Macaca fascicularis: one gene and its partners. The protein of the gene in region 2 interacts with the protein of the main gene of each other region in a biochemical or structural test. Links are inferred from orthologs where the notes say so. Each region holds a gene or a part of one and is shown on either strand. Other genes may lie near its edges.

Region 1 (4,175 bases), on a different chromosome or scaffold from region 2:
CTATCACTGGGGAGTGGGAATTTGGAAAGTTCCCCAACTAGGAACACACGTGACCTCCTTCGGAAAGTAGTTCCGACTGTGGCCCGTGTATCCTTCCACCCCCTTTTGAACCCTCCTAGGTCTCCTTGCCCCGCCCACTCGCTGGGCTGCAGCTTCCTACCGTTCCGTACTTTCCACTCAACCTGGTAACCCCGAACGTGCATGGTCTGGCCGGGGCGCGTGGAGCCTGGCCCCGGGCGATCCATCCCGCCGGGTTTTCACGGAGGCCAAGGGGGGGCGGGGCTAGGTGGTCTCTAAGAACCGAGCTTGAGTCCGACGCGGCGAACTGACTTGGAGCCCGAGGGGGAGAGATGCTCTAGTCTCCTAGGGGCACCGGAGCGGGCGCAGGAGAGGGCTGCGGGGTGCGTCCTACTCACGGGGATCCTCTTTCAGTTCATTTAGATAGGTGCCCTTTGGGCTCTGGAAATTCAACGGCGATGTGTTCACGTTCAGCACGCTCGGCTGAGAGCTTTCATTTTTAGGGCAAACAAGCCGAGTTACCGGGGAAGCGAGAGGTGGGGCGCTACAAGGGAGCCGGATGAGGTGATGCACGCTGGAAACACAATAGCAGGTTGCTCTTTGTGCTAAGACTGACATCCTGAGGACACAGGGTTGGGGAAAGGAGGAATCTCTAGGCAAAGGCTGCTACAGTCAAATCTCTGCGAACGACTGTGATCGACAGCGATGCAAAAGAGCGAATGCAGTCCACGCCGCGGAAATCCAGGGGCAGAGGCAGGGGGGAGGGTATTACCCTTGCAAGGACCGTCCCTGCATTTCCCTGTATACTGACCAGCGTGGTCACCTGGTCCTTTCCACCTGTGCACAGGTAACCTGAGACTCGAGTCAGTGACACTGCTCAACGCACCCATCTCAGCTTTCATCATCAGTCCTCCACCCCCGCCCCGCAACAGCCTACCCTGCCTCCGGCTGGGTTTCTGGGCAGAGGCCGAGGCTTAGCTCGTTATCCTCGCCTCGCGCTGCTGCAAAAGCAGCCGCGGCAAGTGCAGTTGCAGGCTGGCGGCTCGGAACCGGCCCGAGCGAGCTCTAGGCAGCCACACTGGGCATGCTCAGTAGAGCCTACGGCTTGGGGGCTTTGCGCTCGCACCCGGAGCTACCGCTTCTGTCCCCGCCTACCGCCCCCTGCCCTGCCCTCCCCTCGCCCGGCACGGTCCAGTCCGCCTCTCGTTCAGCTCCCGCCTCCCCTCGGTCTCCCGAGGAGCCCGGGCTCCCGGCGCGGCGGCGGAGGGGGCGGGCAGGCCGGCGGGCGGTGATGTGGCGGGACTCTTTATGCACTGCGGCAGGATACGCGCTCGGGCGCCGGGACGCGGCTGCGCTCAGTTCTCTCCTCTCGGAAGCTGCAGCCATGATGGAAGTTTGAGAGTTGAGCCGCTGTGAGGCGAGGCCGGGCTCAGGCGAGGGAGATGAGAGACGGCGGCGGCCGCGGCCCGGAGCCCCTCTCAGCGCCTGTGAGCAGCCGCGGGGGCAGCGCCCTCGGGGAGCCGGCCGGCCTGCGGCGGCGGCAGCGGCGGCGTTTCTCGCCTCCTCTTCGTCTTTTCTAACCGTGCAGCCGCTTCCTCGGCTTCTCTTGAAGGGGAAGGTGGAAGCCGTGGGCTCGGGCGGGAGCCGGCTGAGGCGCGGCGGCGGCGGCGGCACCTCCCGCTCCTGGAGCGGGGGGGAGAAGCGGCGGCCGCGGCGGCCGCGGCGGCTGCAGCTCCAGGGAGGGGGTCTGAGTCGCCTGTCACCATTTCCAGGGCTGGGAACGCCGGAGAGTTGGTCTCTCCCCTTCTACTGCCTCCAACACGGCGGCGGCGGCGGCGGCACATCCAGGGACCCGGGCCGGTTTTAAACCTCCCCTCCGCCGCCGCCGCACCCCCCGTGGCCCGGGCTCCGGAGGCCGCCGGAGGAGGCAGCCGTTCCGAGGATTATTCGTCTTCTCCCCATTCCGCTGCCGCTGCTGCCAGGCCTCTGGCTGCTGAGGAGAAGCAGGCCCAGTCGCTGCAACCATCCAGCAGCCGCCGCAGCAGCCATTACCCGGCTGCGGTCCAGAGCCAAGCGGCGGCAGAGCGAGGGGCATCAGCTACCGCCAAGTCCAGAGCCATTTCCATCCTGCAGAAGAAGCCCCGCCACCAGCAGCTTCTGCCATCTCTCTCCTCCTTTTTCTTCAGCCACAGGCTCCCAGACATGACAGCCATCATCAAAGAGATCGTTAGCAGAAACAAAAGGAGATATCAAGAGGATGGATTCGACTTAGACTTGACCTGTATCCATTTCTGCGGCTGCTCCTCTTTGCCTTTCTGTCACTCTCTTAGAACGTGGGAGTAGACGGATGCGAAAATGTCCCTAGTTTGGGCGACTATAACATTTAACCCTGGTCGGGTTGCTAGGTCATATATTTTGTGTTTCTTTTCTTGTATTCAACCTAGGGTGTGTTCGGCTAGACAGAACTCTTGCCTGGTTGCAAGTGTCGAGGCACCGATTGCTTGCTTAGGCTGTCTATACGGTCTCTTCCTGAGGGCTATTGTCCGTTAATACAGAATACAGTATGCTGTTAGTGGATTAGAGAGCTCGGTAATCCGGTCTCCTAAATGAACAAAAAAGTAGACGCTTTGAGGTTGAGCATATTTCGATTAAATCTTGGCTTAGGCCCTAGATCAAGGGTTTAGATCAGAATAAAATGAAAATTAGTGTTGCACGTATGCATATTGCATCAGAATCTTGCAGTGATTGTTTTAGTTTCCTGGGTTGCATTGATAGATTCTTTTAAAATATGACTGATTTGCATAACTTTAGAAGCAGAATAATTTTCAGTATATATGGTGCACATTGAGTGCAAAAAGTAGTTTTGTTAATGTTTTACACTTAAGTTACAACTTTGGACTGTATTTAGAAGTTTTGTAGTTTGAAATCAATAATGCCATAATATACCTTATAAGGCGTTCTTACTAGATCTTTGTTATATTTACCTTTTTCTCTCCCTATGGGATGATGTAGGATAGGGCTTGAAATTTGCACTTCAGTAGCGTTTAATGTTCAGTGCTCTTGTCATAAACATGGAATGGATATTGAGTAGTTTTTGATCCCAGATGACAATGTGTAGGTTCAAGGGTATTGTGTGTGGCAAGTGAAGATTGCAAAGATAAAACTTCAGTTCATGCTTGAAATTTAAGTATTGTGATGCCAGAATTGCTGCTCACCGTTTTTAGATTTCAGGTTCTCTGACATCTTTTGGTACTGTTAATTTCACTGATTTGTGTAGAATGTCAAGTGAATTTTACCAGCTAATATCCAGAAATGCTGGCAAGAGAAGTTTACTCCAGCTTTAGATTGTAGGTATGTTAGCTTTTTTCATACAGTGTATTAAATTTACTGAGTCAGCTTGTTGAATAAGACAGAAGCCCAAGAATTTTAACAGTGTATAGCTTTAGTTGTCTAAAAGTTAGGCCTTCGGGCTTCAAAAGTTAGTGGTCATCGAAAAGCATGAATCTTTGCAGTTTCAGGTACAACAGACTGGTTTTGATTAGGGATGGGGATGGGGCCCTCATTTTGCAGAATGGAAAGTATTGACAGGAATTGAGAGCTATTGGTAGGCCAGTGTATAAGGTATGTGAAAACAGAAGTTATTGGTCTGAAGTGACTGAAGCATTTAGGCTCTATCAAGGCCTAAAATTTGGTAATATGAGTTTGGTAATGCGAATTGTGGCAGTGGACAATATTTAGTTAAAATTATGTAATTGCATAAGTACTAGCAAAGTATTTTTAATAAAAATTATTTCTTAGCAAGTATCAGTTGCATTTTGTCTAAAGGTAGCGTGACACTGCAGTGTCTATATGTCCTGCTAAAAATTGTGGGGAAGATTTTTTTTTAAGACAACGTTTATATCGGGAGAGGTTTTATTCCCTTGGATTATGTTAGCTGCATATACATGTGCACAGTTAATTTTGCCCAAGTTTTTGTTTTGAAATGAATATAAAACTTACTGAAGAAGTAGCCTCCCAAAATTTAGTTTTCTGTTAAGTCAGTAATATTATTTTAAAACAGTATTTGCAAATTTTGAAGTTGGCATTAATTGAAAATGTTACTAAGGCTAAACTGGAAGATAAAAATGTTACTAAGGCTAAACCCGCTTGCCCAGAAG
Region 2 (3,976 bases):
ACCCCTGGGAACCAGGTATGTGCGGGGGGCCTGGCTGGGCTGGGGAGGAGGGCAGACTGGGGCTGTGCCTGGACTCAGCTGTCTTCCTATATTGGAGACAGAGGAAGAGCTGGGTGGTGAAGAGCATGGACTCCGAATCTCACATCCCTGGGCCCAAAGGGAGCTGAGGAAGCTTTGTGGGTCCCTCTCCAGGCCTGTTTGCAGGTCTGTGAAGTGGCCAAGCCCCTAGGGTTGTTCCAAGTAAAATGCGCTCAAGCATAAACGATTTCACTGTGGTGGCGACTGTCCTGTTGGGGAAGGAGGGACACTCGTGCTTCACGTAGAGGCTCAGGGACGTAGACGGCTGTGGGCAGGGGAGAGGAGGCCTGCTGCCTGCCTGCGGACACTGTGGAGCAACGCCTGTGCACACTGGCCACCACCCAGAGCTTAGAGCCCAAAGAAGTCAGTGGAGGCCCATGTCGAGACTCATCCTTTCGTTACCCTGCAGAGTCACAGTCCAGGCCTGGGGTGGGCTGGGACACAAGTAGGGGTGCCGGCCCGGCCAAGGGAAAGAATGGCGGGAATGGACGCTGTGCAGATAGCCCAAACACGGAGGGTAGGCCAGGGAGTCTCAAGCCACTGGCCCCCAGGATGCAGGGAGGGACAGCTGCGTGTCACGTTTAAACCTCTTTTTGCCTCCTGGGCCCTCCTGAGACCCCTGGGCCAGGGCAGTTCTGGCTGCAGGAGGGATCCAGATCAGGCACAGCGGAGAGGAGATAGGCACGGGGGTCTGGGAGGGCTTCCCCGGGAGGGTGGGGGGGGGCTGTGGCCCTTGTTGTTACCCTTTGGCCCCTTTGGGGGGGTCCCTTTTGTCCAACCCGTCGCCCACCTCAAGACCTGCCTGGATGCTGCACATACAGTAGGTATCCAATAAATGTTCCTGGGATAGAAGGCAAAGGCGCTGTCACCAAGGCGGCTGCCCAGAGCAGGAGTGAGACAGAGGGGTCCTGGTGGCTGGGGGGTCCCCTAGTCCTGCCGCCTTCCCCCACCCCCAATCGGGATGACCGGCCACGGAGGCCGGGATGGCTGGGACCGGAGGTGGGGGCGGCCGGGCGGCGGGGGCGGGGGCGGGGAAGGGGCGGGCGCGGGGGCGGTGCCGCAGCCCGAGCTGGAGCCCGAGCCGGAGCCCGAGGCGACGGGAGCCGAACGGGAGCCGCCGAAGCCACCGCCGGGTGCCCAGCGCCGCCGCCGCCCCCGAGCTGCCCCGCGCCCCTGCCCGCGGGCGGCTGGTGGGCAGCGGGCGCCATGGCCGCTCCGGAGCCGCTGCGGCCGCGCCTGTGCCGCCTGGTGCGCGGAGAGCAGGGCTACGGCTTCCACCTGCACGGCGAGAAGGGCCGCCGCGGGCAGTTCATCCGGCGCGTGGAACCCGGTTCCCCCGCCGAGGCCGCGGCGCTGCGCGCTGGGGACCGCCTGGTCGAGGTCAACGGCGTCAACGTGGAGGGCGAGACGCACCACCAGGTGGGGGCCCGCGCTCGCCCCCGGCCCGCCGCCCCCTCCCTGAGCGCGTCCCTCTGGGGCGGGCGGGGGTCGCACGGGGGCCTGAGGGGGCTTCCGCGGAGAGGACGCGGACATTGCTGGGAGGCAGCAGCCCGGCGCCTTCCGAGTCCCCGCGCAGGAAGCTCAGCCCTGCACAGGGGTGGGGGGGCATCCTGGCAGGGAGGGGCCCGCACTGCGGCTCCTGGCCGTTGGCCTCGCTCTTTGGTCGCGTTTTGGCCTCAGTGTGCTATGAAGGAGGGTGTTGGGCAGCCTGGGGCCCCTCCAGAAAGGTGGAGACCTGGGTGCTTTTGCGTAGTTGTGTGTACACGTGTGCGTGTGAACACAGCTGGGCGTGTGTGTGCAGGTCCCTCTGGGGTCAGCCAAGTGTGCACGCGCCTGCCTGTGTGTACCCAGGAGGGGTTGCAGTAAGGGCATCAGTGTGTCTGCAGTTGTGTGTGTGCTGGAGTGTGTGTGAGTATACAGGTCTGCGTGCGTGTGTGTGTGTGTGTGTGTGTGTGTGTACAGGTCTGGACTCCTGGGCATGTGAGAGCTGAGCTCTGTGTGTGTGCACACCTGGTTAGTGTACTCATCACTGTGTGTCTGCAGGCTGGTAAGTCTGTGTCTGTACTCTAGTGTGTCCCAGCCGGTATGCCTGGGACCGGGTTGAGTTGGCCATTGGTGGCAACCACATTCCTTAGCTCCAAAGGCACTACCCCTCCTCAGAGGCTGCTTAGCCCGGCTGGGGTTACTTGCTAAAGCCTCCTGCCTCCTGGCTAAGGAGAACAGAGCCTTTTCTCTGTGGGTTCTGACCCCTGAGGTATGTCTGTCTCCCACAGGCCAGGGACTTCCACCACACCCTGGTGGGGGTCCAGTGTCCACACACCCCTTGTCCTCCAGGTCCCCTGTCCCTCACAGCACTGGCGAATCCATAACCTGTCTGCATGGCTGGTCCTGGAACCCCAAGATTAGCAGTTGGTTCAGCTGGGCCTGCAGTTGGTCTCCTGTTCACCTGGTGCCTTGTCTGTCCCTCCGTCGGCCAGCCTCATGCTTTCCACCCAGTGTCTGCTGTGTAAGGTTGTTTGCTGAAGAAGGTGGGGATCAGGGCCGGGCGCGGTGGCTCAAGCCTGTGATCCCAGCACTTTGGGAGGCCGAGACGGGCGGATCACGAGGTCAGGAGATCGAGACCATCCTGGCTAACACAATGAAACCCCGTCTCCACTAAAAATACAAAAAAATTAGCCGGGCGTGGTGGCGGCACCTGTAGTCCCAGCTACTCGGGAGGCTGAGGCAGGAGAATGGCGGGAACGGGAACCTGGGAGGCGGAGCTTGCAGTGAGCCGAGATCGCGCCACTGCACTCCAACCTGGGCGACAGAGCGAGACTCCGCCTCAAAAAAAAAAAAAAAAAAAAAAAAAAGAAGGTGGGGATCAGGCCAGTGGCCTGGACCTGAGGGATTGAGGGTAGGGCTGGCAGGGCTGGGGCCTGGCTGCTGTTTGATAGTCGTTGCCGCCCTTGCCCAGGGAACACCTGCTTATCCAAGGCCCTGGGGTGCTGGTCTCTGAGGACTGGACACACAGACCATGGTGGACTCTCCCCACTGCCCCAGGAGGGCAAGAGGTGCAGTTACTGCCCCATTTGACAGTTGAGGAAACTGATGCCAGAGATTTAGGGTGACTTGTTTGGGACACATAGTCAAGAAGCAGCTGGGCACTCGGTTCCTCTTGTCTCACTCTGGGTCATGGGGAGAGAGGAGGGCCAGGGGACAGATGGGCCTGGCTCAGTCCCTCCTATCTATTCACCACCCCTGCTGAGCCCGGTGGCTGGTGGGGAGCCCTGTCCACCCTCCCCCAGGCCGCAGGTGGGAGTAGGGCTGCCCGTCTTCCCGCCCGCTTCCCAATGGACACTGCTTTCTCTCTGCGGGTGCACGCCGGCCCCCTGCATGGTCCAGACACTTCACAGGCACCTGTACCCACACGCCGACAGCCACCATGCCATAGCTGTTCACTGCCCCTCCCCCTTGCCGGCTGTACCTGAATGTTGCTTCCCTGGCTGTGTGTGCGTACCCGAGCCAGGAGTCCAGCCATTCCCCTCCTCACAGGTCCAGTGGGAATGGGCCCATGGTCATGGCCTGGAGGTGGACATAAGGCCTGGGGTCAGGGGTTTAGACTCCCATGGCAGAGAATGACAGGAATGGGCACAGACACACCCAAACTGGGGCCCAGGGAGACACCCCTCTCCTTCAAACCTGGACGCAGACACAGACTTTGAAACAGATGGATGCACGTGCACACACTAACAGGCAGACTGAAAAGCTGAAGCTCCACTGTGCGCCGTCTTTGTTACTTCCAGACGGGACTTACCCAGCTGCCCTACCCTGCAGCCCCTTCCCAGCCCTGCCTGGAGAAGACCCTGGGCTAAGGGCAAGGCTCTGGGAGGACCCTGAAGCCCTCACAGCCTGGACC
Region 3 (3,500 bases), on a different chromosome or scaffold from region 2:
TGTGCCTCTGCTTCCTGAGTAGCTGGGATTACAGGCACACTCCACCATACCCAGCTAATTTTTGTATTTTTAGTAGAGACGGGGTTTCACCATGTTGGCCAGGATGGTCTCGATCTCCTAACCTCCTGATCCGCCCGCCTCGGCCTCCCAAAGTGCTGGGATTACAGGTGTGAGCCACTGCGCCCAGCCTCAAATCCTTTTATATTGGTTCAAAATCCTGTTGGATGACATATGGGAGATGACTGCTGAAGTGTCTGGCTCTCTGGGTGACTTTGGGCTTCTCCCGTATCTTCACACCTCTGCTCAGAGCAGCCCTGGAAGAATGCAGGTGCGGAGGTGAGAGGAACCCTTAGCTCCCCAGAGTTTCCTTGGGAGAAACTCTCAGAGACCTTGCCAGCGTATGGCCTCCATCCGAGGGTGAATGGTATTTCCCGGGCCAGGGGCTGCTAGGCAGGCCTGGGTGGTTCCAGATTCAAGCCATCTGAACACATTCTGTACAGGGCCCTGGGATGGGAGACCTTGTTGTCCCCCAGCTCCATGCCGGGGCCCTCTGGCAGTAGATGTCAGCTCACCTCTTTTGAGAGCCGTGTGAAGAGATCCCCACCACGCAGGAAGTCCAGAATGAGATACAGCTTGCCCTCGGTCTGGAAGGCTGGGGAGAGGGAGAAAGGCAATGGTAGAGTCACCCGGGCCTTACGACCTGCCCCTTCAGCCCTGGCTCCCTTGGCCTACCAGGCAGGCGGTGGGAGAGTGTACAGACCACAGGCAAGGGTGAAAGATGGGTAGGGGAGGAGCTCAGATAGGGCCTGCAGCTTTACCATAGTGCAGCTTCACCACGAATGGGTGGTTTACATCAGCCAGGATGTCTCTCTCCATCTTGGTCCGGACACGGTCACGTACTGGCCAGACGAGAAAGGAAGTCACCAGTAGTCTAGACACTCAACACAGTCACTCCCAAGCCCCCGCTAAGGGATCTCTTTTCCACTTGTTCCTCCAGGCCTGAGCTCCCAAGGCCCCCTCACCCAGGGCTTTGGGGACACTCAATCCTCAGGTTTCTTCCTTCCCAGTCTGTTTCTGGCTCCTTGGCTGGCTCCTTGCTCCCACCCCTCACAGCAGTGCCCACAGCTGGGGCCTTGGCACCCTGCCCTTCTCTCTGGTCCCTTCTCCCACCACGCCCCATCAAGGCCTGTTAACCAGCCAGTCTGAGCAACCTGCTCCCCAGGTGCTCTGTTTTGTCACATCCTCAGACTTTGCCTCTGCACCTCCCCCTGGCACGCCTTCACCAGCCCTGCTTTCCATCTGGCATAAAAATTCCCAAATTCCAGTCAGGGCTGGTAAGAACGGCTACCTGGGGAGCTAGAGAGGCAGATTCCCTGGGCCTAAAATCCCGATCCATGGGTCTAGGCGGGCACCCTTCATATATGTTTTTTTTTTTTCAAAGAATAAAAGTTGTCGGGCAGTTCTGACTCTCAGCAGGTTCTTTGGCTCAGCTTAGGCCTCACCTCCTCTAGGAAGCACTCCCTAATTTGCCAAGCTGAGTTAGGGCCTTCTGGATTCCTACAGTGCTTCTCCTTCAGAGCACTCTTCTCTTTTTCAGGTTGCCTTCTAAATTTATTGAAGCCCACCAAGTATCATGTTTTATTGATTTTTCTTTTTTTTTTTTTTTTGAGACAGAGTCTTGCTCTCGCTCTGTCACCCAGGCTGGAGTGCAGTGGCCGGATCTCAGCTCACTGCAAGCTCCACCTCCCGGGTTTACGCCATTCTCCTGCCTCAGCCTCCCGAGTAGCTGGGACTACAGGCGCCCGCCACCTCGCCCGGCTAGTTTTTTGTATTTTTTTTTTTTTAGTAGAGACGGGGTTTCACCACGTTAGCCAGGATGGTCTCGATCTCTTGACCTCGTGATCCGCCCGTCTCGGCCTCCCAAAGTGCTAGGATTACAGGCTTGAGCCACCACGCCCGGCCTATTGATTTTTCTAGTGTGATTAGAACAGGCTTTTGGGCCGGGGGTGGCTCATGCCTGTAATCCCAGCACTTTGGGAGGCCAAGGCAGGTGGATCACTTGAGGTCAGGAGTTCAAGACTAGTCTGGCCAACACGGTGAAACCCTGTCTGCATTAAAAATACAAATTTTTCACGCCTGTAATCCCAGCACTTTGGGAGGCCGAGGCGGGCGGATCACAAGGTCAGGAGATCGAGACCATCCTGGCTAACACGGTGAAACCCCGTCTCTACTAAAAATACAAAAAAAATTAGCCGGGCGTGGTGGCGGCACCTGTAGTCCCAGCTACTAGGGAGGCTGAGGCAGGAGAATGGCTTGAACCCAGGAGGCGGAGGTTGCAGTGAGCCGAGATTGCGCCACTGCACTCTAGCCTGGGCGACAGAGTGAGATTCCATCTCAAAAAAAAAAAAAAAATACAAATTTTAGGGCCAGGTGTGGTGGCTCACGCCTGTAATCCCAGCACTTTGGGAGGCCAAGGCAGGCAGATCATGAGGTCAGGAGGTCGAGACCATCCTGGCCAACGTGGTGAAACCCTGTCTCTAGTAAAAAATACAAAAAAGTAGCCAGCCTGGTGGCATGTGCCGAGACTCTGTCGTGGGAAAGAAAAAAAAAAAAATAGGCTTTTGGACTTGGCTGCTTAGGTTCATTTTGGACACTGTGTTTCAACTTAAGTTTATTACAATATTGATTATCCCTTGACTGAGACCTCTCATGTGGCCTTTGTTTTTTTGTTTGTTTTTTATGAGACAGGGTCTCACTCTGTCACTCAAGCTGGAGTGCAGTGGTGTGATCTTGGCTCACTGCAACCTCTGCCTCCCAGATTCAAGTAATTCTTGTATCTCAGCCTCCCGAGTAGCTGGGATTACAGGCGCACCACACCCGGCTCATTTTTTTTTGTATTTTTAGTAGAGACAGGGTTTCACCATGTTGGCCAGGCTGGTCTTGAACTCCTGACCTCAAATGATCCACCCACCTTGACCTCCCAAAGTGCTGGGATTGCAGACATGAGCCACCACACCCGGCCTTGACTTCTATTAAAAGGAGAGGTGGAAGGCTAAGGAATGCTTACTAAGACCAGACAAAATGTCTGAGCAATACACACAGTGCAAAACTAAAGGCTTTTTTGGTCCATGTACTGGATCGGCAGTTTCCTCTCCAGCCTCATAGTCCCAAAGCCTTCACTAGTCCATCCATCTAGTATGAATTCTATTCAATCGTCACTGCCATTCTAGAATTGATGCTCACAGTTGCTTATCTTAGGAGATCTGGCCAATGTGCTCCTCCTGCACGTCTTTCCAGAGTCTTGTTCGGGACACAATCCTCGGCCCTTGCTACAAGTAGAAGCTGCAGCTGCCTTCCAACACGCCTTCTGTGTCAGCACACAGGGCTACAGAGCTGGTTCCCTTCAGAGCACTTTTCACATCAGTGGGCCCCTTCCTCTATTTTAATTTTTGTATTTTCCTCACTAGACACGACAGGGACCACACCAGAGTTAACTATTT
Region 4 (4,221 bases), on a different chromosome or scaffold from region 2:
CCTGCCTCAGCCTCCCAAAGTGCTGGGATTACAGGTGTGAGCTACCAGCCCTGGCCCTCCCCATGCATTTCTATGGCTGCCTCCCTTCTCTGTGCCCACTGCCCTCATTTCTTGTTCTGGTGTTCAAGGGCAGTGCTATTTGAGACAGTTTCCTCCGAAAATGACTCTCCCTGACAGGAACTGTCTGCTAGACTCCTGGCCTTCTTCACATATCCACTCTCCTGCTTTTGTCCTTGCTGCTTCCTCTGCCAGGATCATACTCCTCTGCCTGGTGTAAAGGACACTTCCCTCCCTCCTTGTGTGCCCACATCCTCCATTACTGGGGAGGGAGGTTGTGATTTCAGGGCTGCCTCCTATGGTATGTAGGCTCCTTGGGACAGAGGCCCAGGTGCCAGAATGGGCACCTAAAGAACACTTGTGGTTCTTCGGTGTTATATTTTAATGGTCTCAGCTTTATTATGCCTCTGTTTCTTTTCTTTTTTGAGACAGAGCTGTTGCCCAGGCTGGAGTGCAGTGGTGTGATCTTGGCTGACTGCAACCTCCACCTCCCAGGTTCAAGCAATTCTTTGGCCTCAGCCTCCCGAGTAGCTGGCATTACAGTTGTGCACCGCCACGCCTGGCTAATTTTTGCATTTTTAGTGGAGATGGGGTTTCTACATGTTGGCCAGGCTGGTTTCAAACTCCTGGCCTCAAGTGATCTACCTGCCTCGGCCTCCCAAAGTGTTGAGATTACAGGCGTGAGCCACCACACCCAGCATTTTTTTTTTTTTCCAGACAGGATCTTGCCCTGTCACCTAGGCTGGAATACAGTGGCACGGTCACGGCTCACAGCAGCCTGGACCTCCTGGGCTCAAGCAATCCTCCCACCTCAGCCTCTCATGTAGCTGGGACCACAGGCATGAGCCACCACACCTGGGTAATTAAATTTTTTTTTTTTTTTTTTGTAGAGACGAGGTCTCACTTTGTTGCCTAGGCTGGTCTCCAACTCTTGGTCTCAAGCAATCCTCCTGCCTCGGCCTCCCAAAGTGCTGGGATTACAGGCATGAACCACCACACCTGGCCTATGCCTGTTTCTGTGTCTCTAAGTTTTATGGTTCTGTGACCACTGATCTCCCACCCTGCTTTCCCCCTTGGTGATGAGAAAAGAACATTAATGGAGGGATTGGAAGGACTGAGAGATAAAACTAGAGGCTGAGGGAGGAGATCTTTTCAGATCTGACACCAGGGAAAACTTGAGATTTGGAAACTTACTGTTTGTACTTGGGAGGACCAGAGTGGGCTGTGGAGAGGGCTGCAGAGAGGAATCTTTGATGGGTGCTGGGCCCCTTAAGGGCATTCCCCTTGCCATAACTCATGTGCCTCACCCCATAGTCCCCTGCTGGACATTCCACAGCTGTGGGTGGGGCCACAGATCCTCTCTCTCACCCTCAGGCCTCTGGTTAAAGTGCCACCATGAGGGTGGGGGTGTCACACATTAACTGGTAGCACCCAAGCACCTGGCAGAGTCAGCTTGCCCTTTTTGACAAGCAGGCCCCAGGGGCCTGGTTAGTCAGTTTCTGGTTAGTGTCAGGTCAGTGTTAGTTTCACTGGCGTTTGAAAAGGCCTGGCTGGAGGTGGGGAGTAGGAGTGAGTCCCTGTCTCTAATCCCCAGGCTGGGGCCTAGGAGGAGGAGCCAGGGTGGTCACTGGATCTCAGAACTGCAGTAGGGGCCGGACTCTGGCCCCACCCCTGCTGGTGTGGCAGCCCCAGGCTGACAGGCCTCTGCTGCAGCCATCCCACTGTGACTAGGGCTCTGGCCAAGGTACACAGACCCTGGGGCCAGGGTGGGCATCAGACACCAACAAGCAAGGCAGAGGCTCAGCTCTCTGAACAATGCAGCCTGGTTCCCTCCCTCAGAAAACCCCTTGCCCTTGCCCGGACCAGGGATTCTCTGGGACTAATGGCTCACATCTATCTATTTCTGAGTCCTTATATTCCCCCACTGCTTCATCCCAACACTAGCCCCAAAGTCAGCCTGCATCCAAGCTTAGCCCTGATCCCAGACTAAGCTCTATCTCCATGATGAGCCCCAGCCTCAGGCTGAGTTCTTATCCCAATCTGATTTCTAGCCCCTGGCTGAACTCTGACCCCAAGCTGTGCCTCCACCCAGACCTCTCTCAGCTTCCAGGCCCCTCTGGAAGCTTTTTGAGGCAAGAGGCCAGTAGGGGAGGGGATGGCCAGGCCATAAGTGAAGCGAGGTGCCACTTTTACAGCCATTTCGGCTGCTCATAAACACCCCCTGACACCCGGCGGAGTCGCTGGAGGCTCCCATGGCAGCTGGCTGGGCAGCCCCCTCCCCTTGCAGCAGAAGCACGGCTGCCCGGCTTTCTTGCTTCTCAGGAAGATGAAGGGAGGGACGATGGGGGCACGTGGGGCCAGCAGGCTCTGTCCCAGCCAGGGAGCTCTCCCAAAGAGCTAGAGGTATGGGCTTTCTGTCCCTGCTGGCCTCATGGTTACAAGCCCCCTGCTGTCATAACACCAGGTCCACAGATGTGTCTCCATGCAGGCATGTCTTGTCTACCCCACAGCACGGCCGGCCCAGGTGCTTACATACTCACCCCCGGGGAAACCACAGACTTGGACCTCCCAGCTGTGCTCAGGCCCCCAGGCTCCCCTGGCCCCCACTCACCTGGAGCCCACGGGCCTTCCAAGTCGGGCCTACAACTGCAGAGCAGACTCAAGTTGGCCACGGGGAGGCCATGGATAGTCCCTGAGCAGCTTCTGTGGCTCAGGCCTAAGCAAGGATAGCGCTGCTGAGGACAGGAAAAGGCCTGAGTCAGAGCTTCCACTTGAAAAGAAAAATTAATTATTTTTTACCAAGCCCTACACTGGCCTAGGACTTTGTCCCAGACCCCTAGTCAGGAGTAGGAGGCAACAGAGACAGATCCAAGCATGCCAGTGTTCAGATGCCCTGGGTTGGGCCCTCATCTCAGCACCCATGGGTCTGCCTGCCAGGTAACCGGGCCCACTCAGGCTGCCAGACATGTGTGTGTGCCTCAGTAGTCCTCCCCTTGCCCTGCCACGCCTCTCTCTTAGTCTCTGTGTCCCTGTCTGACCCTCTGGTCCTTTCCACATCTCAGGAATATCAGGCCGCCATGAGGTATGAACACAGCCCCTACTAGTGACTTCACTCAAGTTTAAGGCACCCAGAGAAATCAGAGGGGGGCTGGAGGTGGTTCTTGCCTGTGTCACGGGCAGGACAACTGAGGCCCAAGAAGGCCTGATCTGCCAGCACTGGGTACCCAGTGGCTCCTAGACGGAAGAGATTGGGGTGGGGGCGTCATTCCACTCCTGCCCGTGTCCTGACCCCTACAGCCCCACAGTCACCCCATATCTGACTCCTTGCCCACTGGAATGTGGGCTCCTGGTGAGGAGTCAGCCAGGAAGCCCTCTCTATCTGCCTCCCAGGCCCTTCCAGGCCCAGGGTCTGCTTAAGCCGTCACAGGTCCCAAAGGCAGGGGGCTGTGGACAGGATGACCTCTCTGTGGGTCTGTAGAACGAGCTGTGTTCAGAACCAGGGCTGGTTGCTCAGGATGAAGATGTGGGCAGACAGGGAGACAGAGACCCTGCAAGATCCCAGAAGCCTCATCCCCAGCCCTGTGACCCGGCTGGAGGCTGCCCTTCTGCCTGAGCCCAGTCTGAGCTGGTTTGTGTCTGGAAGTCCTAGGCTCAGCCTGATGAGGTATAATGATTCACGTGGCAGCTGCCACTCAGCACATTCCAGCTGTAGCCCCCAGCGCCCTGCATGTGAGGCAGCTGGCCCCAACCACCCTCAGCCATTGGGCACGTTCCTAGGGCCCCCCTCCCTGGGTCTTCCAGGCTCCTGGGGAGGGTACCACTCATTAGAGTTTCCAAAGTACTTTTTGTTTCGCAAGTTAGACGGGGAGGCAGGGAGCTCGGTGATACCTGGCCTCCAGGTGGGGGAAACGGGACCAAAAAGCAGAATGGACTGGCCAGAGGACATAGTGAAACTATGACAAACAGCACTTACGGTGCTCCTGCCCCAGCTGCTCTGAAGTGCACTGCTCCAAGGGGTATCTCGGGACACGTAGGCCATTCTGTGACCACACCAGCGGGAGTCAGTGGGCAGTTGTGCTCAAAGGAGGGAGAGCTCCCCTGTGCTCTGTCAAGCCTCCCTGTTGCCCTGGCTCTCGACCGCCAGAGCCTCTCCTTCCCCTGAGT
Region 5 (3,987 bases), on a different chromosome or scaffold from region 2:
AATTCTAAGGCATTTAACAACCTATGATAGAAACATATGATGTGTTTCCTGTATATCTGGTAAGGCCATGTGAAACACAATTTTTCATAAATTAAATTCTCATCCAGGCCCACTCATTGCATATCCAGATTAAGAGTCACAAAATTATACTCAAAGATGAATTGAACATCTTATATTAACAAGGTACATGTACTGTAATGAATGTAAAAATATGGTAATCCATAATAATAGCAGTTAACATTGGGCTAACCCTTCACATTCATTTTCTCAAGGGATTAACCCCTATGACAGTCTCCAAATTTTAAAGGTCAAGTCACACACAGAGATGTTAAGGGACCTGCCTCAGGCAACACAGCTACTAAACAGTAGATGTAGGATCTGAATCGAAATAATCTGACTCCAAAATCTACCACTTTTGAAAACTAAGCAATACTGCCTAACTTAATGCAAAAAATATGTTTTTTACAAGAATTGCAGTCCAGAAGGCCAGAAGGAAGTTTGTAATCATTGGTATTTTAGGTGATTGTCAGTTCCTATAAATAGTAGGAACTTAACTTTTAAAAACATACCTATTCTTGGAGCAACTTATGAAGTATTTTGGAGAACAGAAATGAGTATGCTCTTAACACACTTAGTAGCCTTTGTAATACATTTTCTTTGCAAACCAGCCTGATAGCATTTTTTAACCTATATTAAATGTGTCAGGTGATTTGTAAAAAGAAAATTATATAAAAACCCACTTTGACAGATCAATAGTAAGCTATTTTAAAGTTCATTAGTATTTAGAACTATCCATGGAATATTAATTCTTCTGAAAACTGCATTTTTAGACTGATTGGCATTTAGCTTCCTCAAAGTTCTCTGCTAAAAAGGTCTATAATTTATGCCAATTAACATTCTGATTTTATAAGAAGTAGGAAAACAGATCAATAGATAAGCCGATTTTATGGAAGAAGTAACAAAAGGTGCTATAACATCAATACAAAAAGGTAATTCCAAAGAGTAAAGTCCTTCTCTCTCATCCACCGGGAGGAGCTCTCCTTCAAGGGCCACAGTCTCTCCTTAGCACCGGAGTTCCAGGATTAGCTGCACATGCAGAGAACTAAACATAACAGAAATGTGAAAGCTAAATCTCTTCCCCCCTACACACTTATATGAGCTATTTATAACATATTTCACTTTTTTGATACCTCAGTATGCTTATTCATTGGGTAATTATGAGTCAAGTAATATCCCACGAGAGAGAAGTACCTACTCATTCATTCACACAGGTATAACAGGAACAAAGTAGATGCAATATCCAAAGAACACTTCAAATATGAAGTGCTACATCTAATAACACTTTGCCTAAGATTCCGAACTTAGACGCTGTTTTTCAAAATCTCATTAGATAAAGTTTGCAAGCTTCTATGGCTCAAAGTTTGCAAGCTTCTATGGCTCATCACATTAGGCTAGGAATACAATTTATTAAATGTCAGTTGGATATAACTTCAGTATCTATTTCTATGGCTTTTAAAATTTATAGCTTGTAAAGTTAACTTTTTTCAAAATAAATATTTCAACAAATTTGCTTTCAATTTTTAAAGAACAATGTACTTGTGACAAATACTAGATTTATCCAGTCTCATAACAATAAATATTTTAAGCACATATTTTCTACCTACCCCAAAAATTTTTTTGGCAGAATTCAGTCAAGAAATGTTTTCTGAGCACCTACTATATGCAGGCATGGCACCTGTATGTGCCAAGAAGATAATCAAGTGTCCAAGGCATGAAGGGGGAAAACCAATAAACCACACTTAAGTATTTATTATTAACAAGTTTTTTTAGTTTCTTAGAAAAATCAAATAAAATAACTGCATAGTAGCATACTTGGGTCTTGAGATTCTAACTTTTCAGTTGCAAGTAGATGTGGCTGTCTATTCAATCAGCTTCAATTCATTCTTCAATCTCTTCTTAACGCTTTCTGTTTTATTCCACAATACCCACATTTTCTTTCAAAACAATGAATGATAGCGCATCTTTTTAAAAACTGCTTATTTCTTTTCCCCAAATCCAGCCCATACACACGCCCTAATCTTTCGTGGGCACGTGTCTTTCCAAAGCTCGGTTGGCCACCCTCTCACCTGAAAAAAAGTTTGGAGACAACGTTGGCCTTTTCCAGAGGCGACCTCTGCATGGTCTCTCGGGCGCTGGGGTCCCCGCTAGGGCCGACTGGGCTCAAGCTCCTAATGCCAAAGGACCTATTACTCTGGGTGCCTGCCGCTCAACCCTTTTTCTCTGACCTGCTGTGATGTCATTTGCTTCCAACTCCCCCCACCCACCCCTACTCCACACACCACCCCTTCCTTTTGCTCCTTCCCCCGCCTTCACTGCCCAGGTTAAAAGCCGAGTGCTGCCTGGTCCGGCCCCAAATTTGCTCTAGCGGCTTTCTCCACCCACTACGCACCCCCGGCAGCACCCCGGCCGCTCCTTCCTCCTCTCCTCCTTCGCTCCCTCGCCGCCCCGCACCTCCCTTTTCTGATTCTGACTCCCAGCCTCCCTCCCTCGCGCGCGCTCCTTCCAGGTCCGTGTCCTTACCGCCCAGCACCAGGCCCATCCCGCAGGTGGGCGACAGTCGCGGCCGCTCTTTAGGTGCGGTTGGCAACGCTGGAGGACAGAAGAAGCCACCGGCAGAACTGGCTCCCCGGAGAGCCTCCTGGACCGTCCTTCGCGGCAGGGTCCGCCAGACCCAGCACTCGCTGCCACCAGCTTCCCCCGAGCCTGCCTTCCTCCTCTTCCTCCTTTTTCCGATGATCCTAGCTGGGTTCCTGTTACGTTTGCAAGGTGCATTTTGAAAAGGGAAGGAAAATGTGCCTTTCGTGTATCAAAATACAGCCTTAGAGAGCCGAAAAGTTCCGCGGCAGTGTGGGTCTGATGCATTCACCTTAGCGCTTCCTCTGCGTGTTGGAGAAAAGCAGCAAGCTTTATTAGTTTCAGGCTTAGGTGAGTGAACTCCAAGGATGACAAAGAAATCTGAGGACACGTACTTAAAGGGGGAAAAAAAATCTACAAGGAGGTAAGAGGAGATAGTGCTTCGCCTAATTACCAGCCCAGGATTTGTTCCTTGTCTGTCGTTTTTAGTCCAGTGTGCATTTTTAAGGAGGGCTTTGGAGTGTTTTAGCGACAATGACAAGCAACAATGTAAACTAACCCGCCCTCCTATAGATTTCCTAGTCTCAGTCAGCAAAACATCTTGACTAATCCACCGAAAGGAATCCAAGCAGTCTTTGAAGCGAAGGTAATGTGTTAACTTTGACCTGACTCAGAGAAACGCCATCTTCAACTCTCCAAGGGCAACTGGACATTCCCAGGCGTAGGCGCCTTCCTTCTGAGCACTTGGTGTAGGATTGCCTGTGTCTCTGACGGTATTTAAAGAGCCAACCCTCTAATCCCTGAACCCTATTGTGTAAAAGCAAGCACACATTGTGTTTGAATTGAAAAATTCAAAGGAAAGTAAAAATTTTGGCCTGATTACTTCATTGTCAACACATCTAAGGCAAGGGTCTTGTGAATGATCTTATTGTTAACTTGTGGTCACCCAACTACAGTACAAATAAAACATGCATTTCATGATGGAAAGACAAGAACATGTGTTGAAAATAAAGAATGTGTTCAGCAGGTTTTCATAGCTCTGCTTTGCACTTCAGTGGACAAAAGCATACCTTTTTTCTTGAATATTGTAAAGTAAGATTTAGAAACATTTAATCTTTATTATCCTAAATTTGAATAGTAGAGAAAAGGGCAAAGAGATAAACCACATTGCATTAAGTTAGACACCAGGAAAGAACTTTAGCACTTTTAACTCACCATCCACCCTGTTGTTTGAAATCCTCTACCTGTGTTTTCACTCTCCAGTATGACAAAAATTGAGACTGTCTTCACTATTGACTTTTCCCAGACATGTGACTGAACTCACTCCATCCACTTCCCCATCCCCAATCTGTT
Region 6 (4,037 bases), on a different chromosome or scaffold from region 2:
ACAGTTTGTCACTTCCTCAAAAGGTTAAACAGTTGCCATATGACCCAGCAATTTCACTCTTCCTTATCTATCCAAGAGAAATTAGAACATAGGCCCCCACACAAAAGCTTGTATCTGAATGGTCAGAGCAGCATTATTCATAATGGCTAAAAACTGAAAACACGCGAATGACCATCACTGATGAATGGAAAAACAAAATCTGGTCTAGTCCCAGCTCCCAGGAGGGGCAATATGGGTCTTTCATGGCAGTGTGGGCCTATCCCAGGAAAGGGAGGGGTGGAGCCAGACATACCTGGGGCAGATGTGAATCCAGAAGCTCTGATACATGCTACAATGTGGATGAACCTTGAAAATGTTCAAGAGAAAGAATCCAGACATAAAAGGCCATATATTGTATAATTCCATTTATATGAAATATCCAGAAAAGGCAGATCTATAGAAACAGAAAGCAGATTAGTGGTTGCCAGGGATTGGGGAAGCCAGGATGCGGAGTGACTGCTAACTGGTAGGGGTTTCTTTTAGGGTGATGAAAATGTTCTAAAATTAGAGTGTTGTGATGGCTGCACAACTTTGTAAATATGCTAAAAATCTTGTACACTTTAAACGTGAATTTATGGTATGTTTATGTTCCATAAAACTGCTGGGGAAAAGACTGCAGGAGAATGTAGGTAGAGCTTTGGGCGTGCGTGGCTCAGTAAACGCTGGTGATTATTAATAATTAGGTCTCACGAGATAATTTAAAACCCCAGAAGCAGTGAGTGCGATGGGACTGCCAAACTTCTCGCTCAGGCTGGGCCTTTAAGCCGCTCTGCGTCCCTGAACTCACTTGGACCTCCTCAGAGTTCCTCATATATGAATGGGGGAAACAATCCCTATCACGTCCTTGGGGTCTCGCAAGGAGCGGGGCTCAGGAGGCAGATGAGGAACATGGAGGAAGCCCTGGGCCTCTGGCTCGCGCTCTGCAGTAGGTGACAGGCCCCGCTTGGGGCCAACCCGGAAAAGCCCGAGCTCGTCCAGGTGAGTTCTTGTGATTGGCAGCCCAGAGGAGGGCGGGGAGGGCTGCGGTGACGGCTGCCCCGCCCCCTCACGTCGGGCTTGCTGGCGCCCGCCGGGGAAGGTGGGCGGGGCCCGGGGTCTGCGGCGCCCATTGGGCGTGGGGGGAGAGCTCCCGGGTGGGCCTGTAGCCCCGCCCCCTCCCTTGCGGCGGCCAATAGGCGCCGCGCGTGGGCGGGGCGTCGGCGGCAGCCGGGCGGCTGAGGTGGCCGCTGGGGCTCAGGCGGCGGGCGCGGCCGGGATGGCGAAGAGCAACGGAGAGAATGGGCCGCGCGCGCCCGCGGCCGGGGAAAGCCTGTCGGGAACCCGGGAGAGCCTGGCCCAGGGCCCCGACGCCGCAACCACAGACGAACTCAGCTCTCTCGGATCCGACTCGGAGGCCAACGGCTTCGCCGAGCGCCGCATCGACAAGTTCGGCTTCATCGTGGGCTCACAGGGCGCCGAGGGCGCGTGAGTAGCGCCGGGGGTCGGAACTGAGCGCGGTACCCACGCGGGGGGCCTCGACACAGACGGAGGCGCCCTCGGGACTTGCCGACACGTCCCCCTCCCAAGCAGGGACCACCAATCCCCCTTCCCTCTCCTGCCCCACCCCCACCATCCCTGCCTTCCCAGACCCGCCCCCTTTGCAGTCCTACTTCCGACCCAGGGGGCGGACGGGCCCACACCTCCACCTGCCACCTCCACCCTCCAGACAGACTGACCCGCCCCCAGGAAGGACCGACTGTGCCCTCCTCCCAGCAGTGGAACAGAATGACAGACACTGCCCCAAAGCCACCCCTGCCTCCAAGGCCTTAGGGATGATTGTCTCTGCCACCCCGACAGGCTCCCAGATGGCTGGCGCCCCCCTCCATAGACACGTATTCTCCATCCCTCCCCCTCCCACAAACCCACAGATGCCCTTGTCTCCCCGCCCCCCACACTGCCCCCACACCGAGAGACCTCAGACCGACTTCAGGACTGACTGCCCTGCCCCCACCCCTCCCAGGACAGACTGACCCTTTCCTCGAGGCACACATACCTTTGGATGGACTGACATTGGTCGCCTCCCTCCCCTCAGCCGCATCCTAGGACAGACAGTCCCTTCTCCTCATGGAAGGGTTAGAAAATGGCCCCCTACCCCCTCATACACAGCTTCCTCCACTGGCACCGGCAACAGGTGGGCAGGTACTCCCCCTTCCCAGCACCTACAGGGCGACAGGGAGCACCACCACTAGGACAGACCGTCAGCTTCAGCAGCCACAGGAGGCAGTAGATGGGCTCTGTGTGTGTCCTGGAAACATGTGCCTCCTCCCAAAGGCAGATCTTGGGCATGGGACAGGGGCAGGCAGGGAGACAGCAGGGTCCCTGCTCATATAGCACCCCCTGATGTCCTATCCCGAGAGCACCCAGACACCCAGCTAGCAGACAGAGAAATGTGGGGCAGTGGGCTAGCACCTTGCCTCCAAGCTGGGCCGCACGGTGCCCCACAGAATCCCCTGAGCCCAGGCCTCAGAGATCATGTGCACAGGCGGGCGGTCCCCTTAGAAAAGATGGACTCCATACCCCACTCCCATCCCAGCTGTCCTGTCATGTGAGACCAGTGTTGTGCACAGAAATGACAAGGCTCCCTCCTGATGTGTGCTTTCCATCCCAATCACCAGTAGGAGCTCCTGAGGCCCTGCCATGACCCTACTCCAGAGAATATCCTTTCTCCCCATCTCTGACCAATTGAGATTGTCCAAGGTCACCCCAGACTCTCTCATGACTTATGGAAGCCCTTTGACTGTCTAAGAACCCCTGTCACTTCCGGGATTTTCCCCAGCCCTAAAGCCTCTTATTCACCAGGCCTCCTTCTTCCTTGGAGAAATCCAGGCCCCTCCCCTAAGGGAGTTCCCTCTCACCCTCTGGATCTGTCTCCTCCAATACCTCCCTACTGGCTCACAGCAGGCTAAGCTTAGTCCAGGACCCAGAGAGAGCACCCCTCATTCTGAACCCTCCCCGTGACTGATGCGTTGTCACAGTTCCCCAGGGATTCACTTGTGAGAACTTAGTGGGGACCTGGAGTGTTTTGAATTGAAGAGCAGTCACCTGGGATTAGGGCCCAGGGAGGGGTGTGGTCTTGAGATCTGGGAAAGGAGTTCCCAGTTGCATTTATGGGACCTTGGAAGGAAGAGCTCAGATTTGTGGGAGAATGCTAGGGCATGAGAATTCCTACTGCATGCTTATCAGGCAATCAACCACATCTTGGGGTGCAGAGCAATGAGATATATTAGGAAAAGGAATTACACTTGCTAGCTTTGTGACCTTGGGCAAGATCCTGAATCCCTGAGCCTGTTTACTCACTGTAAAGGGCAACAGTAACACCCACTTCTCAACATTACTCTTGGGGGTTAAATGAGATCAGATATGTGAAGGTGCTTAGCACAGCACTTGGCACAAGTAGTGGCCCAGAAAATGTTAGTTTTCTTTCTTTCCTTCTAAGGGTCTGAGAAATGAAGAGAAAAATGAGGGCATATCTCTGGTATTTGTGGGCAGAGTGAGGCCCCAGTGGAAGCACCTCCCTTTGGCTGTAGTCCCCAACCAGGCAGCCAGACATCTGTCTTTCTTACCCCACAACCACAAACCCGGGATGTGGCTCTGCAGACACCCTCTACATTGCTGCTGTCTGTAGGGCTGGGACTGAGGTCAGATCCCAGGTCCAGTTCTCTCTCCCTCCCTCACTTTGTGGAGCCTGTCGGTCAACCCAAAATCTCTGGTATCTGAAAGCTTCGATGTTCCCTACTTAGTTTATATTGTGGTTTCAAAAAAGCCAAGAGTAAGTCCCTGCCCAAGGCCATAAAGGGGAAGTTATGGGAAGTTTCAGGGTGACTGCCCTAAACCCAGTCTTGTGGTTGAAGGCTAGGAGTCCATGTTCTATGCTAGAGAAGTGAAACGTTAGCACTCATGGGTACTGTGGTGATGGTGGGGACTCTGACTCCAGATTAGAAGTCCATTTCAGTTACCCT
Region 7 (4,192 bases), on a different chromosome or scaffold from region 2:
ATCAATGTTGTAGATTACATAACATATACTTGCATCTTGGACAATGTAACATATCTCTCTAAAATGAGTAGTTTGTTTTCCCTTGGTTATCATGCCATCATTTAGTTGTATTGCATTTTCTTTTTGGAAACCTCAAGTCATTTAGCAAACAGGATTTCATGTTTATTCTCGAAAACTCTGGCCCAACTGTAGAGATTTATAGTCTAATTCAATGAAACCCATGCATTTATTTCCCAATTTAACCTGATGTTTCTCTTCTTACCAGAGACTGCCATGTAAATACTTTAACGATGTTAGGTGTGTTATATATAATGAGGTAATAATCAGTTTCAAATTAGCATTGTGCCTTTCACTTATTTATCAATTATATTCCCTTGTGATAACTATGAAAAGGCTCCACATCCTGAGGACACTTGTCACAGTTAGATTTATTAATGGAATGAAATAGCAAATAATGAATGAGTGAATGAATGAATGAGTAGCTGCCTCCATTTTATGGATGAGGCAGTGTCCAAAGGCACAGTGAGGTCAGGTGATGGCAGAAAGCCACACACCAATGTTGGTAGTTTTCTGCCAGGTCAGATGCCAAGTTTATTTTCTTTGTTCTCTTGCTTTAGCTATAAACTAATTTTTAAAATCATTCACATAAAATATCAATATTAAAGAGTAAAAATGGAAAAATAAGCCACATACAATTAAATGGCTTTTTTAAAAGGAGCTCAATGTGCAAAGGATAACATGAGTTAGGATGTTTTGGGAAATTTTTCACCTAATAGGAAGAATGGTTTACTCTTTTATTTATCAAACCTTCCTCATCATTAAATGGATTCAGTAATACTTTTTGGTAATAACTCGTGTGTGTGTGTGTGTGTGTGTGTGTGTGTGTGTGTGTGTGTGTGTGTGTGTAATAAAATACTTTGTATATGTTCATTGTGTTCTTTTTTTAACAAGCTTTTTAGTGAAAAAGACACAATTACCTTCACCATTGCCCATTATCTAATGACAAGTAGGGAAGGGGAGGCTAGAAGAGCTTCTACATAGTCAGAGATCTTCCATTGTCATACCTACGCTTGTACTTTATTTCATTTTCTTCCACGTTTGGACAGGTCGAGATTAAATGTGATTACATTTCCGTTGAGAGGTTTTATTCAGAAACAGGATTCAAAAGAATGTCAATGAGCATAAAATAAAACCGGTGTACAATTTATATGAAACTCGGATTTAAATGTTCCTAACAGAAAAGAAGAAAGAAAAGAAGCTATTTAAAGTAGCCCTCCCAAGGGGAGTCAACTGCTCTTCAGCGCATCCTGAGCTGGCTGTGCCTTCTCTCCATCCGCTGCTCAGATATTCATGAATCGTTGCTTCTTCCAGCCTCGCTTTCTCTCTCCCTCTGCCTTTCTGGCGCGGCTCTCCCTCCCTCCCTCTGATTTCTGCTCTTTCTTACTCCTTCTCTCAGCTGCTTAACTACAGCTCCCACTGGAACTTGCACAATCAAAAACAACTCTCCTCCCTCAAGCAGCCTCCAGGAGCGCATCACCTGGAGAAGAGCGACTCGCTCCCCGCGCCGGCCGCCGAGGAGCAGCCAGGTAGCTGGGGGCGGGGAGGGGTACCTTTCTCCCGCTCGGTAGGAGCCACAGCATCTCCCCGGAGATTGGCCGTATCCCACCGTCCGGCCCCCAGGGTGCTGCAGCGGTGATGCATATGTTTCGGAGCAATGATGGAAGGAGAAAAGCCGCTGCCGGTGGCAACTGAAAGTGGGGAGAGGTTGCTGCAGTAGCTGGTGCTGCAGAATGAGCGAGTGAAGAACTGAGCCCTGCTAGATTCTCCATCCCGCTCAGTCTTCATTAACTGTCTCCAGGAGGTAAACCGGGGAAACAGATATGCACTAACCAGGCGGGTGCCACCCTGGATCTATAACTGTGAATTCCCCACGGTGGAAAATGGTAAACAAAGACATGAATGGATTCCCAGTCAAGAAATGCTCAGCCTTCCAATTTTTTAAGAAGCGGGTAAGGACAGGTTTTGCTTATTTCTTTTGTTTTCTGTGCTTCTCTTAAATGCTTTTGAATGTTTGCCTGAAGTAAGCCTAAGGTTTTGTTGCTAAACCCTTAATGTAAGCCGTGCTTCTGACAGCAGTGGTAAAGCTGAGAACTATACCTGCCTTGATTCGAATTTGTTGGAGGAGGGGCAGGGGGCTATGAAGAGTTGCTATTGGGAGGAGGGGGTTGGGCTGAGATGCCTTAAAAAGGGTTTGAGCTGGGAATGGGGATTTTTCTCTCTCAAGCCACAACAAAGATTACAAGGCAGTTGCAAAGAGAATTGGCCTGAGTACAGTTATGGCTAGTAATTCAGTCACGGGCTAATTTAGCAGCTTCCTCTGTCTTATCTTTGAAGGGTTCAACTTTTCCACACCTTTCATCCACTGAGTCTCAAGTGATGCATTATCATCTTCATTCGTCAGAAGCAGCAGCTTCTGCTTTCCCAAATCCATTCAGCCAATAATTTGCTATGTCTCTATCTATGGTATAAATAGCAAAGGACTAGAATGACCTTTTACGAAATGATGGAATCCAGCATTTAAAATTGTCTATTTTAAGTTGCCTCAATTTTTGCTTTTGCTTGGAATAACTGCCTTTTTTTTTTTTATTTTTTATTTTTTTAAGGAGAGAGCAGTGGGAGGTCTGTATTTGAGCAATAATTCAGGGTTATGTTGCTGTATGCATTTATTTCTTAAACTCCTTATTCTTCAACTCAAAGTATGAAAAATAAAAATGTTGCATTGGTTGTAGGTGAGAAAAAAATGATTTTTTGCATGTATGTTTCAAAATAAACTCAGTTCACTGGGATGGCCACACTGGTGGTCTGTGTAAATCTGCAAATTTATACACAAGTGGGAGGTAAGAAATGAATGATTGTTAAAGGAATGATGACTGACACTCTTAAGGACAGTGTTTCCTAAGCAACGTAAGAAAAGGAACATCCTCCAGCCCCCAGTTGCCCCATCCTATATAATACCCTAGGGCAATTCCTCCAAAATGGTTCTCTCCATTCATTTGTCCTTCCCTTCATTCAGGCCCTTTCTGTGCCATTCCTGAAACACGGTTCTTCAGTTAACTCATCCGCCTAACACAGTGAATTTCAGGGTGGGCTGGACTACCTCGCTGCACCAAATGGGCAAGCTGGGAAGGCAATGCTAGAAATGCAGGCAATGTGTCAGGCCCAGCTAGAGGGCCAGCGAAGCCTCCCAAGCACCTTTGACTGAGTTCTCATCAGTAAAGCAAAATCTTTCTCAAAGTCTGTGGGCCAAAACATATGCATTAAAACCAAAATGAAACCAACCTGTCCTGGCCCTTGCTCTTGATGCGGGAGTACCATGTGAAATCTCTCACTAGTGGAGCTGCAAGCTGAATGAAAGCAAGTCAGTGCAACTTCACAGAGCTCCACAAGGCTTCTTCGTGTTTCCCTGTAGCCAAAATATTTCTTTCCAAGGGAAGGGCCCTTTATGAAAATTAATTTTCTTTCTTTCTTTCTTTCTTTTTAGAGATGGGGTCTTGCTATATTGCCCAGGGTGGTCTTGACCTCTTGGGCTTAAGTGATCCTCTTGCCTCAGCCTCCCAAATTGTTGGGATTACAGATGTCCGCCACCAGCCACAGCCCTAATTTGCAATAATAAACAAATGTTTTGCTAATTTTGAAAATGCCATAGCCCATTATCCAGTACTTAAATTCCACTACCTTTTAATTACGGCATTTATTTCATGGTATTAGGGATATTCTAAAACTCCTCAGTCAGATGTTCTTAAGCAATGTGGACTTAAGTTACATACATTTTAAATTGTCTTTTATTTTCTTTGTTATCAAAATGTACTAATAGAAATACTAATTTACCATTTGGTTTTGTTTTGCTTAAAAGTAAATTTACCAATGGATTTCAGTTGGTGACTCTGCAGACCTTGAATTTTGCAAAGAACCACCCAGAGTACTGATGTCTTATCTGAGTACATGCAGAAAGAAGTTTCTACCAAGATAACTGGCAGGCAGCTTCATCTACCTTCTAACCTGGGTCTATCAGTTGCTGGAGACGGTATCAGACATCTCTCCTGCCCCTGCACTCTCTTTACTCCTCAAGGACAGTTAACTAAGTAGAAGGTGACCTTGTATCAAGTCATTGAATGCCCCAGGGATAAATTCT

Evidence for each region.
Region 1: the proteins of NHERF2 (region 2) and PTEN form a complex in vitro, tested with the Homo sapiens proteins (2 studies listed by BioGRID and IntAct, with this or other methods). The link is inferred for Macaca fascicularis from reciprocal best matches to the Homo sapiens genes NHERF2 and PTEN.
Region 3: the proteins of NHERF2 (region 2) and RPS6KA1 interact in a test that uses a peptide from one of them, tested with the Homo sapiens proteins (2 studies listed by BioGRID and IntAct). The link is inferred for Macaca fascicularis from reciprocal best matches to the Homo sapiens genes NHERF2 and RPS6KA1.
Region 4: the proteins of NHERF2 (region 2) and PTH1R interact in a test that uses a peptide from one of them, tested with the Homo sapiens proteins (2 studies listed by BioGRID and IntAct, with this or other methods). The link is inferred for Macaca fascicularis from reciprocal best matches to the Homo sapiens genes NHERF2 and PTH1R.
Region 5: the proteins of NHERF2 (region 2) and CFTR form a complex in vitro, tested with the Homo sapiens proteins (4 studies listed by BioGRID and IntAct, with this or other methods). The link is inferred for Macaca fascicularis from reciprocal best matches to the Homo sapiens genes NHERF2 and CFTR.
Region 6: the proteins of NHERF2 (region 2) and TBC1D10A form a complex in vitro, tested with the Homo sapiens proteins (2 studies listed by IntAct, with this or other methods). The link is inferred for Macaca fascicularis from reciprocal best matches to the Homo sapiens genes NHERF2 and TBC1D10A.
Region 7: the proteins of NHERF2 (region 2) and SGK1 form a complex in vitro, tested with the Homo sapiens proteins (2 studies listed by BioGRID, with this or other methods). The link is inferred for Macaca fascicularis from reciprocal best matches to the Homo sapiens genes NHERF2 and SGK1.

Annotation. Positions count from the first base shown.
Region 1 is NC_088383.1:96,734,467-96,738,641, forward strand, and holds the start of PTEN (phosphatidylinositol 3,4,5-trisphosphate 3-phosphatase and dual-specificity protein phosphatase PTEN), read left to right. Parts: upstream 1-1,375; 5' UTR 1,376-2,220; coding exon 2,221-2,299; intron 2,300-4,175. Other genes in the region: KLLN (killin), read right to left, coding at 1-245. UniProt on the Homo sapiens protein: Dual-specificity protein phosphatase, dephosphorylating tyrosine-, serine- and threonine-phosphorylated proteins.
Region 2 is NC_088394.1:2,793,671-2,797,646, forward strand, and holds the start of NHERF2 (Na(+)/H(+) exchange regulatory cofactor NHE-RF2), read left to right. Parts: upstream 1-1,176; 5' UTR 1,177-1,284; coding exon 1,285-1,497; intron 1,498-3,976.
Region 3 is NC_088375.1:208,564,260-208,567,759, forward strand, and holds part of RPS6KA1 (ribosomal protein S6 kinase alpha-1), read right to left. Parts: intron 900-3,500; coding exon 819-899; intron 653-818; coding exon 573-652; intron 1-572. UniProt on the Homo sapiens protein: Serine/threonine-protein kinase that acts downstream of ERK (MAPK1/ERK2 and MAPK3/ERK1) signaling and mediates mitogenic and stress-induced activation of the transcription factors CREB1, ETV1/ER81 and NR4A1/NUR77, regulates translation through RPS6 and EIF4B phosphorylation, and mediates cellular proliferation, survival, and differentiation by modulating mTOR signaling and repressing pro-apoptotic function of BAD and DAPK1.
Region 4 is NC_088376.1:109,772,657-109,776,877, reverse strand, and holds the start of PTH1R (parathyroid hormone/parathyroid hormone-related peptide receptor), read right to left. Parts: upstream 2,801-4,221; 5' UTR 2,669-2,800; intron 1,344-2,668; exon of another isoform or gene 1,252-1,343; intron 1-1,251.
Region 5 is NC_088377.1:158,928,648-158,932,634, reverse strand, and holds the start of CFTR (cystic fibrosis transmembrane conductance regulator), read right to left. Parts: upstream 2,801-3,987; 5' UTR 2,581-2,800; intron 2,251-2,580; exon of another isoform or gene 2,229-2,250; 5' UTR 2,180-2,228; coding exon 2,127-2,179; intron 1-2,126. UniProt on the Homo sapiens protein: Epithelial ion channel that plays an important role in the regulation of epithelial ion and water transport and fluid homeostasis. Mediates the transport of chloride ions across the cell membrane.
Region 6 is NC_088384.1:21,340,185-21,344,221, forward strand, and holds the start of TBC1D10A (TBC1 domain family member 10A), read left to right. Parts: upstream 1-1,237; 5' UTR 1,238-1,294; coding exon 1,295-1,503; intron 1,504-4,037.
Region 7 is NC_088378.1:38,322,395-38,326,586, reverse strand, and holds the start of SGK1 (serine/threonine-protein kinase Sgk1), read left to right. Parts: upstream 1-1,392; 5' UTR 1,393-1,940; coding exon 1,941-2,009; intron 2,010-4,192. UniProt on the Homo sapiens protein: Serine/threonine-protein kinase which is involved in the regulation of a wide variety of ion channels, membrane transporters, cellular enzymes, transcription factors, neuronal excitability, cell growth, proliferation, survival, migration and apoptosis.